3 linked regions of the Saccharomyces cerevisiae S288C genome follow. The protein of the gene in region 3 interacts with the protein of the main gene of each other region in a biochemical or structural test. Each region holds a gene or a part of one and is shown on either strand. Other genes may lie near its edges.

What was found. Proteins that work in one complex are often made in the same cells at the same time.
Region 1: of the proteins of IKS1 (region 3) and CMR3, one has a biochemical effect on the other in vitro, tested with the Saccharomyces cerevisiae proteins (one large-scale study listed by BioGRID).
Region 2: of the proteins of IKS1 (region 3) and SCT1, one has a biochemical effect on the other in vitro, tested with the Saccharomyces cerevisiae proteins (one large-scale study listed by BioGRID).

Annotation. Positions count from the first base shown.
Region 1 is NC_001148.4:584,132-587,514, forward strand, and holds CMR3 (Cmr3p), read right to left. Parts: upstream 1,455-3,383; coding exon 501-1,454; downstream 1-500. Other genes in the region: YPR014C (uncharacterized protein), read right to left, coding at 3,058-3,383. UniProt on the Saccharomyces cerevisiae protein: Probable transcription factor involved in the regulation of the transcription of genes involved in cell rescue and defense, as well as cell cycle and DNA processing.
Region 2 is NC_001134.8:201,863-206,317, reverse strand, and holds SCT1 (bifunctional glycerol-3-phosphate/glycerone-phosphate O-acyltransferase SCT1), read right to left. Parts: upstream 2,781-4,455; coding exon 501-2,780; downstream 1-500. Other genes in the region: LAA2 (Laa2p), read left to right, coding at 1-211; FMT1 (methionyl-tRNA formyltransferase), read right to left, coding at 3,057-4,262. UniProt on the Saccharomyces cerevisiae protein: Dual substrate-specific glycerol-3-phosphate/dihydroxyacetone phosphate sn-1 acyltransferase, catalyzing the first and committed reaction in the de novo synthesis of glycerophospholipids and triacylglycerols (TAGs).
Region 3 is NC_001142.9:327,348-332,262, forward strand, and holds IKS1 (protein kinase IKS1), read right to left. Parts: upstream 2,775-4,915; coding exon 771-2,774; downstream 1-770. Other genes in the region: BIT61 (Bit61p), read right to left, coding at 1-526; ZAP1 (Zap1p), read right to left, coding at 3,084-4,915.

The DNA.
Region 1 (3,383 bases), on a different chromosome or scaffold from region 3:
ATTCACTTGGCCTTACTGGCAATCATAATCATTTTGACGAACTGCGGACATCGAGAGTACCCTGCAAATATATCTAGAAAAAGAGGTAAAAAAATATTGAAGGGTCAACCTGAAAAAAATTGAAAAGTGAAAATAGATCTGCTGATAAATAATGCACGGCTTGCATCAAGTGATCACATGGAACTTTCCCAATACCTCAACTACGCATTTTCCCTTGCATATTATATCATCATCCATCTTCTTTGCCTCTCATATATTTACGAAATAATACATAAACATAAAAACGTCTTTGTGCGTCCAAGTAAACTTGAAGACGCACTCCCGTTATATAAAACTGGGAAGAACACTAACAAAGAAGGTGACTTGCGCTTAATTAGTTTTATTCCCTTGCTTCTAAAGTCCGTAAAACATTCTATTAGAGTCTATACATAGTTTTGCCTTACCTTTGAATATGAGTTCTAAAAATTCCATTGCAATAAAGCTTTCCGTTCCTATTGTTTCTATGTAGTGTTTAAGACTTTGTTTCTTTTCCTTTCATGGCTTTTCAAATGTCTCAGCATATTGCTTTTCACATTGAAGGATTTTGTGCAACCCTCCCAAGTACATTTGAAAGGAGTATCTCCCGTATGAATTAAGTAATGTGTCTTCAGCGTTGAGGGCCTCGAACAAATTTTTCCACATACTGGGCACTGCTTTCTCAGCTTTGTGGATGATATTCGGGTGTCAGTTTTCCAATCAGAAAATGTTGCTGAACCGTTCAACACGGCACCAGGTTCGCTTTTTGTTCTGCCGTTACTGGCTTCCTGCATGGTTGGAAGTACGCCATACCCAGGTGGGACTGATTTTGGCCTATCGTGGCATAGCTCTAAGGCAGCGTTTGGGTGACTCGCCATTGATATTGCAGTGAAGTTAGGTTCGGAGGCAATTGTTATTGGTTCTTTGTCGTATGGTGTCAATGGTTTATATACTGTTGGGACCATGACTGGCATCATCAAGGGAGCAGAGGAGGTCAAATGAGGAGACTGGCTATGTGGTATTGGTTGCTGACTTTCCGTATAGTAGATAGGATATTGATCAGATGTTGCGTTCATGGAAATTGGGGTGTAGATCTCATTAACAATGGGTACAACATTCATGCTTTGATAAACTTGCTGTGGAGGGAATTGAACCCTTGAATCTACGTTAGGTGGTGTATTATTTTCAAAATTAGGCAAAAGGGATGAAATTGGTGGTAAGTTTATTTTCGTACTATTATAACATTCCCGTTCATTTTTGTAGCTATTGTGGCCATAAAATTGAGTCCCCTTACCAGTGCTCAGCTGATCAACTGCGGACACTTGAAGGGGGAGGTTCGATTTATAATTGACTGTACACATTCCTATATTAGGAGATCTTGACTTGTCTGTATATGATGATTGTTTTTCTGAACTTTGCTTTGAAAGGGAAAAATTCATGTAATTTACTTTAGTGGCGTTTACTGCTATTTTTCGAAGGTAGGTGATGAACTTGTGTTATAACTAAGAAGCTCAAAACTAAAAGTATACTAATGTTTGAGGAATTATTGTGAAGCCATAGAACAATAAAAAGCTAACAATTGTATCTTTCGTTCAACTTGTCAAACCCTGACAGGCATATAAAAGAGGTATTTTGAAACATCAACATGTAGTAGTCACATATATAGCAAAATAGTAAGTAAGGAAAAAAAGAAGGCACAGAGAATACAACAATAATGATGAAGGCACACGACTGCCCTTTCCGGGCCACCTGCAGATCTGTAAGGTAGTTCAAATGACGTTCTCGCGCGGGTTTCTTACTTATGAAACTTTAGGGACATAAGTCGGGAACCTGATGCATCATTCTTTATCTTGTTTTTTGTTGTTGTTTGAGTTTCTTGTACAGAATAATACGCAGAATTAAAGCGGAAGTTAAAAAACAGATCGTCTTGATCTGCCCTCAAAACCAGTATCCACTGAAAACCTTATTTCCCACCGTAAATGGCAATCACTCGTAGCTCAAGGTGGAATGCTCCCGTAAGGATATTTCCTATATGAGATAGTCCCGATCCTGAGAAGAGGGATCGCCGTCATTTTATTCTTTAACCCCGAGAAACGGCATCTCTCACCTGATTGTTCTCAAGATTGCTGCAAAACCCAGATATACTTTTAGGTACGGAGCGTACGCGATGTATATGGATTGATTTTCACATGTATCGTTTATGAGTACTTGACTGCACCTCGTGTCGGAAGATTTTCCAATCGGGCTTTTTTTCAATCTTGAAGGCCCTCCTTTTCATTTCCATTTGCTCTGACATTGCGGCTATGCATCACAGGCAAAAGCTGAAAAGGAAATTTTGTAGCGTATCGGTTTACTGCACAGTCTCAGACCCTTTGTAGTACTGTTACCTGGAAGAATAGTAGGTGCGTACAACAGTGATTATGTAGTAGTATCTACTGAAGAGCCTACGAGCGAAAAAAAAAAAAATTATCGGCTACATTACGTTGTTTCCTACGGAGACAAGAACCAATATAAGCTGCAAAAAATCTATGAGCATTTTAAGTTTCCGATACAACAAGATGTATGCGTACTATTCACGTCGTGTTATATTGCTCACGTAACAACTTCTATGACAATAATAAAAAATAACCTTTCCATTGTATCATTAAGGTTATCTACGGAGGATTGTCAAACCTAGCGGATATGAAATGTACTTGATTCCTAATTCGGGTTTATTTAGAGTTCAGACTATGTGGGTCATTTCTTATGCTAATAATAGGCACTGAGGTAAGTCAAAATAGCGACACTCAATTACTGTTGAATGGGAAGAAAAAACCGAGAAAGGGATACAGAGATCTTGCCCACGCCTTTTTTTCAAAAAGAGCCCTTCGCAAGGTTGCTCAACGGGATTGTCATAGAAAGAAAAAATCAAAGCCAATAACTACAAGGCCAAAAGTAATGGTAGGGAGCTACTACAAAGTGGGCTCAGCCTACCTGAAGAAAATAAACAATTAATGGACAAGATCTGTTAGCGGACATACAAGAGATCAAATTACCTTCTGGTTAATGCTGTAGGCGAAGCAAACCATTCAATTGAGGAAACCTTATTCCCAATTGCGCTTTTGCTCCCTGGAAGCCTATAACAGCGTGTGGGCAAATAAAGTTGTTTTTCGCCCTCAGCGACTTTACTTCGGAAACTGAAGAGCGGCTAGAAATTTCGCAGAAAAGATTTTCCTTTGAGGATAGAAAAATGAAAAAAAGAAATTTATCTTTTTTCACAACAGGTGCTGCTTTTTCCTCACGTATGCACAGAATGCAAAGTACAAGATTTGTAATACGCGACTCCGCGCAGCTGTACTCTACTCCCAAGTCAGCGGAAAAAATGCAAG
Region 2 (4,455 bases), on a different chromosome or scaffold from region 3:
CCACGATACATTGTGTCAATCCATTGACTTTTTGGTTAGTAAATCAAGATCATTGAAGAAACAACAGCGAGACCTCCTAAAGGATAAGACAACTTTTGAAAATGTAGTGACGAATTTGACAGGACATACCCAAAGACTACAGCGAGACGAAATTGCATTGTATAACAAAAAGCGAAACAAAAAGAAAAGGTTCAGTTGGGTAGGATACTAATCGCCGTCTCGGCAAAGCAGGTTGAACGTTGAAGTTTGAAGAGAATAAAATGTTATTAGTAGCATAGGGGACCAGACCAAAAGTCGTAAAAGAGCAATATACTTTTTTATAAAACATACAATTATACAATTAGTCCCCCCCTCAAGAAATAAAAAGCCCCTGTGCGAGGGATATACATAAACATTGAGCATTAATATTTACAACTCCCAATGAGCAATAATGGGTTTATTACATAAATAGAACGGCGAAAGATTTAGTTTCTAGTATCTTCACCGTCAGTAAATGGCATCTACGCATCTCCTTCTTTCCCTTCTTCTTCTTCTTCCTCTTCTTCTTCTTCCTCTTCTTCTTCCTCTTCCTCTTCCCTGGCAGTATTTTCACCAATTCTCTTGTTTAAGACGGCCTGTGCGATTTTACTTGCTAATCCATTTTTTTCCTCCAAGATTTCGTTTTCTACCTCAAATTCGGAGGAAGAAGAAGGTGCAACGGATGTCGAAGCTAAGGAAGACTCTGACTTACGATGAAAAGTAGAAGAGAATAATGGAATGTTAGAGAGGGAATTGTCACTATTGACCAATGAGACGCCATCGGAATCTTGGTTATGGTGTTCATAGGCATCGTGGTTGTCACGTTGGCTGATGATAGGTGATGACGAATCTTTTTCTTGTCTTTTTATTTTCTGTTTTCTTAGCATTTTCCTGCGATTCAATTCTGAGGTTTTTCGATCTTCTTCCTCTTCATCGATGACGTCGAATTCTTCACGTAGGGCGGCACTATCGAAATCGGGGAATAATTCGCTTCCAAAGTTATTTACAACTTCGATTATTCTTTCTGCCAGATTTCTACGATCCTTTTGTAGCTTTTGCAAGCCCTTTGGAGATGTAAGAGATAAAACCAGTGGTCTCAAAGATTTGAAACCATCCATACCAATATCACCCACGATTAAGGCGGAATACGTGACTATAACACACGAGATGTAAGACCCGGAAAAAACATATATTTTATTCCATGGTTTATGTCTGAGGTAATAAGTGATTAAAACGGACCAAAAGATGTAAAGCAAGGGCGCAAATCCCATCCCAATCAAGATTTTCCACGTGGCAATGACATCGTTAGCCTTTATTTTAACTGTAGACTTGGACAAAGCGGTACGGGCCTTTTCTTGAGAAATTCTCTTGGCTAATATGAAGACAGGTGAGAACATAATGATACCTGGCATGGCTAACGAAAAGAGGATGCAGAGCCCGATGGATCTAAAAAAAACAAGTCCGAGGTTTTTTGCGAAATTTACCTTTGCCTCCTCCACAAGGTGATCAGGAAGATTATAGTGTCTCAAGGCGGCATTATATGCCATTATATCTTTGGTCAAGTCCGCTATTTTAGGATCGTTTCTATAGAATTCGTAACCTTTGACCATTCTTCTGTTCATTTCCACAATCAAGGGCAACGGTAACTTGGTGCTAAATTGTGTCATATATAGTCTTCTTATCGTTTGAACCACCATCAAAGTTTCATAATCAGAACATGTAACGGTAACGGATTGTAAACCCTTCGATATGGTATCTAATAATTCTTTCACTGCATCTCTGTTCGTTTCCGGGTTGTGGTACTTGGCGACTAGTTCCTTCGGTATTTCAATGGGGTCACCGAATTCAACAACCGCTCTCGACCTGAACTTATGTGGATGGAAATAATTCATACCGCAGGGAACAATCTTAACATTGACGTCAGGATGCTTATCCATGCAACCAAGAGCCATAATCGCCACACCTGCTTTCAGGGGCAACAAGTTTGTTCTGTCGTGGGACCCACCTTCAGGAAAGATCCCAATGCAGTTGTTATGGGCCAAATGCTCAAAAACTCTATGGTAAACGCAAGATTGGTCGACTTTAGCGGCATATTTATAAGTAGTGCCGGTGAGTAAAGCAGTTTTAATCTCTGGTTTGGCCATTTTGAACTCTTTTCTTAGGGTCAAACTCGTGTCACTTTCTATGGACTGGATTTCTCCAAATCCCATTGATTTGGGTAACCCGATGAGACCCTTTGGCATACAATCAGTCAAGAAATGCGTGTCGTGGCCGATAACTCTCTTGTAGTCTGTTGGATCTACGCGGATAGTACCTTCTGCCGGTTTCAAATTATCCTGCGGCCTTACCACGCCTATGGCCATGAAGAAACTAGCCAAAAACCCTATGGGGGGTTGCTTTAATGAGCTCTCCGCAATCAAGAAGGACACACGTCTGTTGACAGATTTCTTCACCTCGCCCATAAGGATTACAGGGTCGACGAACTGGTTAGCATGCGGAGCCGCAACAAAGATCACCGGTCCCTGTTGCGGTACCTTGAAACTGCCCCGGCCTCTGATTTCTCTAAAGAAGCAGTGGAAGATGTTGTACAACAGCCATGTGGCGATGGAGTAAAGTATCTTCTTGGTAGCGCTAGGCTCTTGGTAGATGTATGCCTGATCAGCCGACGTCTTGACGCTTTTGGCCTCGATGGAACTGTAATTCGTAGTTTTCTGTGTGCTCTTGGAAGAGGCAAATTTCTCCGTGAGTTTTGGTGCAGGCATTTTTTTTTACCCCGATGTAAACGCCCCTGTGCTCTTTTTACTATATATTTAATTCCGGGCTTCCTACACTTAATTCACTCTGTTATGAACTACAAGCCATTACTAACATCAATCTTTCCGAATCATAAATAAACTGCAACTGGGAAAGAAGGCGGGCCTACTTTTCTTTTTCTTCATAGCGCGTAGGGCTTGGCAGCCATAGTTGTTGAGAGACCGATGGATGAGGGATTGAAAGAAGGGAGAAGAAGAATACTAAAAGAGGAATGTAGAGCCGGGTTACAGGAAAACTAACTTTTCACTCAGGGCGCCGCATCTTTTCCGCAGGCGCGCCATGAACTGGCCAGCACGTTCTACGGCGAAACCTTCGAACTGGAGGCGGCTCACACATAGTAGTAAGTTGCCGCGACAGGTGACCAAAATACAGTCTTTAATATCATCATATTTGAACATGCCCGGTTTACTGCCATTATCTAGACGTGCGTCTCTCATCACTTTACACTCATGAAACAATATTCGTTTTAATACTGAATTTTGAGCGTCCTTTCTTGCCGCTGTCGCTTCTTTGAACGCGTGCAGAGGACCGAGCGTTTCGAGTTTGTTAAGTAGTTCGGCGGCAGAATCGCGCGCCCAATGAATGCGTTTATCTTCTGTTGTTATACGGTGGGCGTAACTGGGTTTGTAAGCTGTTGGCGCTTGCACACGGTTCTGTGGTAGATATAACCTCTCACGAAGCGTTTGGCCCAAAAGTTGGGCGCCAAGGGCGCCCAACTGGTCCATCAGTATGGCAGTCCTCCGAGGCAGGCCCTCAGAATTAAAATCTGCCGTCGAATCATTGACTCTCCCTTTTGACAGCATTGTTGCGATCGCCAGTGGCTCCGTCTGCGCTACAATTGCACCATGGTCAAACCGATCCGGATGCAGTGTCTGTATAGTTACACCGGTGTAAGTGTCACCCTCGAGCAGAGCTCGCTGGATAGGTGCACTGCCTTTATGTCTGGGAAGTAGCGAAGGATGGACGTTTAGCGCCAATGGCACCGCGCGGATCAAGTCACCCGGAATGAGCTTCCCAAAAGAAACCGCAATGATCGCGTTGAACGGAGCACCGGAGCCGTCGTTCTCCGGATTTCCTTGGCGACTGGGTGTCAGTTTGCTTAGCGCCAACATTTCCTGCTTGGTGTCGCATGTAATTGGGCGTGGCAATTGAAGCTTCTCTGCCATATCGAAGATCGGCGGGTATTTCAAAATAGACTTCTGTCTACCGCACCACTTCGGCGACCTAGTTACTACTTGAATATTGTCCACTATACCACAGCTTCCATTATTTTGACGCAACTCATTGAGTGCTTGCAATGAGAAATTACTGAAAGTGTCGCTACCAAAGAAAAGCACATTCAAGGGCTGCACTGGTGGAGAAGCATTGTTTGAAATATATCTGCATGTGAATAGGAGGCGTGTAGGTGTTATTCTTCTCATTTTAACCATTTGTTTGATACGCCGTTTTCAATCTTCTCACTATGAGGTGCCTAGGTCCCCTTCCTTTTTTTTCTTACCTCTCTTTTTACGTTAATGAGAAAAGCGCTTACTCCTCTCCATAATAGCAGGTACAGCTTTTTTTGCTTTTTTCTTAATGGACGCTTCTTCCATTTGATATAAATATGGGTTACCCTGTGGGCAT
Region 3 (4,915 bases):
TCGTATGTGCTCTGTTTCTCCTATTAAAAAAGCCAGAAGCCTTTCCTTTCATATACCTGCCGGAGGGCGTGGAGTGTAAACTTTTCTGAGTAATGGATATTGCATCAGAAGATAACTTTTTAGATAGATTGTTCGAGCACTCCACCGTGTCAACGCTATGAGATTCCCCTATCTGAGAAGAACCAGATTTAGATGTTGCAGCTGAGGCATTGTCATTGCTCCTCAAGGAATGATTTGAGGCCACACTGACCTTCGATCGAGGATGATCTACTGTATGGAATATGGATTGGAAGCCAACGTTAGAAACACTAGGGCTAATGGGGTTCCTCGAGCCCTTCAAATTCTTGATGGAATAAACGTCATCATTTGATGTGTCTACAAGAGTTTGCCGGCTAATCTCGCTTGTAGTCTGAAAATTTTTTACTGGGGCTGTGGCTAATTGCACATTAAGGTATTGTTCGCTATTGACAGGGCGTTGTGTCGTAGTAGATGTTCTTTCTCGAAGGAGTATATCTTCTGCTGTCATAATGAAAGAACTTTATTTCTACAGAGGTCAATTGGCGTTTCTGTCACCTAGATCTTTTCATTTGGTTATTCCCTCTATAAATTTACTCATCGGTCAATTTTTCTAACATTATGCACCTTTGTCACCGGCCCTTAGAAGAGGTGAAGATGATTCGTGAACATTGGTGATAAGCGAGAATATTTTCTATAAATTTGTAAAGTAAAAATAAATTACGTGCTATTTAGTTTGCAATGTGTACTTATTGTTAGTATATGTATTTTTTGCATGCGGCGATGAAGGCCAGTAAAACCAACGCTCTTGCATGCTTACCTCTTTCATCAGCTGGTGATTTAAAAACCATTCCCAACAATATCAGTGACATATAAGAGAGCCACGACCCCGTTTTGGTACACTTAAATATGATTATCGTTAATATCATAGAAACTAGTTTGTAACAAACCTGGATTGTTCTATTTAAAGCAGAATACTTTTGGAGGTTTTGGGTTGATACGGTGCTCAAATTTTCCTCTGGTGCTGGTAATGATAAAGTAACGTTGTCTCCGTCAATATAATCATCAGTAAAACTGTTGGTATTCTCATTCACTTCCGAGATTGTACTGAAGTTCAAAGTGCTATCCACATTTTCTTTCCAGAATTTTTTGCCGGGTTTGGAATTTATTAGCATTTCATCTAACGTCTCCTCCACTGTCTTCGCTGTGGGTCTAGCATCATTATTTGGTTGTAAAAGAGCGTCCATTAGGTGAAATATTCTACGGTCTATTGGTTTCAATTTCATCGCTTGATGCTTTTCAATCATACCTTCAGTGTCGAACCTAAAATTTTTGATGCGTACCTTCAAATCAACTATATCCAACTGTGGTTCAAAGGGCAATTCACCGAAGACAATAAAATAGCAAATCATTCCTAGAGAATACATATCGGAAGCAAAGGTGTATTCATTGTATGTGTGACTCGATCTTGAAGGCAACGTAGAAGAAGAAACTGGTCTCCCCTGGATAATAAGGTCTGGTGCTGTAAACTCTAATGTTCCTGTGCAACCAGTACCCAATCTGGACTCTCCTTCCAACTGACTTTCCCCCAAATCGCCAATAACAATTGATGGGAAAAACTCATCTGAATTGTGTTCCCTGTCGTATACGTTGTCATTCTCATTGTCACTTTTAAATGGAGTCAATAATAAACAGTTGGATGGTTTCAAGTCCCTATGTATTAGGCCAATACTGTGCAGTTCGTGTAAACCTCTTGCAATATCCCTTATAATGGATACGAGCTGTTCCGTAGATAGGCCAACTTCTCCTGATTTACCGTGATTTTTCTTGCGAGTTCTAAATTTTTTTTTCCTCTCTTCAGGTGATTCGGTATCTGAGAACCTATTGAACACTTTTCTTAGAATACAGTCTTCTAAATTGCCGCCACTGCAATACTGTTGTAAAATGAAAATACAAGGAACTTCTTCTTGTGAATCCGATTGGCTCCCATCAATGGATCTGACAAATCCAACCGAAGAATCCATTTCGAGCCACACATGATTATACGTAATCAAATTGGCACTTTTGTGAGTTAGCGAACTCAACGCTTTCACTTCCCGTATGCACTTATTAAACCATTCCATATCATTTCCAATAGGTATTTTTTTTAGTGCAAAAACACCTAATTCAGTATTACCAATTGTGTGTACAACTTTGTAAACAGAACCTCTTGCACCATTTCCCAGCAAAGACAATATTTTGAAAAATTTACGAAAGTATCCGGGGATAAACAAATCATCTGGAATAAAGTATTTGTTTTTGCTGAACTGTCCCTGCTTATTGTTACTATCGTTTTGTAGGGCGTAGTGCCGATGATTTCTTTCCAATGACTGAAAATATCTTCTTGAAAAGCTTGAATTGGCAAATTCAAATCCAAGTGGCACAGTGTTCTCTGGAATACTGAGCCTACTGCTTTCTGATTCTACTCCAGCAGAGGCTCGACGATGAAGTTGTCTTCTGTTTATAATATCAGGGTTAATTTCCGTACCACATTGCGGGCACACATAGGAAGCAATAGGGCTTTTGTATTGATGAATCCCTGAAGGAAAGTCCAGTGCTGATAAAGATGCAGTCTGGTCTTCATTTAGTTCAGAGTCATTATTACTGTTGTCCTGTTGGAAAAATGATAAAGTTCCTGAGGTTGGATTAACAACCACCACTGATTTAGAATTAGGATCATCTAAAATCAGCGAACCTTCTTCATATGGTACTAAACTCATTTCTAAGTTCTACTTATGCTATCCCTCAAACTATATATCTAATAGTGTTTCTTCGGTTACCTAGTTGTCACTCATAGGATCTATATATACAATGTCCTTCCCCCCCACCCCCTTTTCTGAAACGTATACAAAAAATAAAGCTTGAAATACGTTATTACGTAAAAAAAGTGTACTGTAAAAGCTTACAAAAAAGAGTTTGCGAAAAATTATAAATAAAAAGTAGTCTAGGTAAAATATGAAATGTTTCTAATTATGCATTTATGTGATCCTGAAAACCGCCCTTCTTACGTTGGACCATGATGATCACATTTATAAATATGGTTTTCTTTCCAATGCGCATTTCACTTTCTGTGAGTTCAATTTTCCCAAATCGTCAAAGCTTTTGGAACAGTCAGAGCACTTGTATTTTTTCTGATGGGTCTTAATATGTTTGCTCAAATTTGACGATTCGTTGAATCTCTTACCACAAATCTTGCATTGTAAAGGTTTTTCACCAGTATGGGTTCTTATATGAATCTTCAAAGAACTTGAAATCGCGAATTTTTTATTACAAATGTGACATTTGTAAGGTTTTTCGCCAGAGTGTGTCCTGGTATGCTGAACTAAAGTTTCTTCGCTTGAAAAACACCTTTTACATGTCTTGCACTTATAAGGTTTGTATTTCGAATGCACTTTTAAATGACGGATTAATTTTTGTCTTTGGGGGAACGTACGATGGCAGTCATGCCACAAGCATTGGTATTCAGACTTACCCCGGGTTAAATGTACTGCTTCTAAATGGTCGTTTAATTCCTGAGCACTGGAAAATGACTTATTGCAACCATCCCATTGGCAAATCACCTGTTCCGGCTGCTTGATTGGCGGTATATTGGAAACATCATTTGCAGACGTCATATCAGGTGCTCCATCTGCTTTAGAAACTTCGTGTGTTTGTGGGTTGGGGCAATGTAGTAAGTGATGTTTTTCCTTTGATATACTACCAGGCAAAAATGAGTCTGGGTTGGCAAATTGAATATCAAAATTGATACCATGTTGACAATTAATATGGTTCACTATGGAACATGTATCATCTCCAAGGAAATCACAGTCCTCCCAATTACAAGCTAATGGTTCCATAGGGTGTTTGAAATCTTGAGAGACATGATCCTTCAAAAGATGTCTTTGTAGGTCAAATAGTGAGCTACAAGACTCAGGACATTCTTTCCATTTGCATTTTAAGTCATTGTTTTTCTCTTCTTTAAAACACCAGTTGAAATTTATAGTGCTTGTTGTCTGTATAGGAGGAGAGATGCTAGAAGGTAATGAGTCTTCCAAAGAGCTGAAATCAGTAGATTCTAGATCTTTTGTAGGCCAAGATCTACGATTTTTCTGATTCTGATGAGTGACTTTGGGTAGCGAAGGGGGCTCACTTTGATTTCTAAATCTTTCATAACTATACTCTCTTGAAATTAAGTCATTTAAATCGTTGTTAGTTAGATCGGCTGTTGTGTTCGCCGCGCTAATCCCTGAATTGTTCACAATATTGTTTCTATTTGGTTTGTGAGAATGAAACTGTATTCTATGGTGATGGTGTTGATGATCAGTTGAAGTTGCTCCAGCCGTATTGTTATTGCTTCCATTAAGATTATTTTTAGGGTTGCATCTATTAATGCTTGATAATAGAAGATTCATTGTTTGGTTACCGTTTTCATTATTTCCTGTGCTCGAACCATCGCAGCCGTTACCGGCATTATTGTGGTCGTGGTGGTTAATGTGTTTTCCAAACGGTACTTCATACAAAGAAGAAATATTGCATAAATCTTCCAAAATCTTCAAATCCATATCAGTATTTAAGATATGTTCGTGATAAGCATGATTTGTACCTTGCAAAGTGTTTGTAGGTTTTCGTAAAGATGAACATTTGGGTGGTAGTTGAGGTGGCTTTGACTCTAAATGCATATGCTTAGAACAAGGTTGATTATCAGTGCTCTCCTCACAAAATTTGCAGTATTTATGGAAAACGTCATCATTATTTGATGATTGATGATCTTGAACAAACTTGTGACCACTAGTCGCGCTCGTGCTAGCCGTGCATGGGGTGTCACAGGTCAAATCGCAATCAATCTCCGATAAGTGAGACATCAGCTGAGAAAAGCTATCTG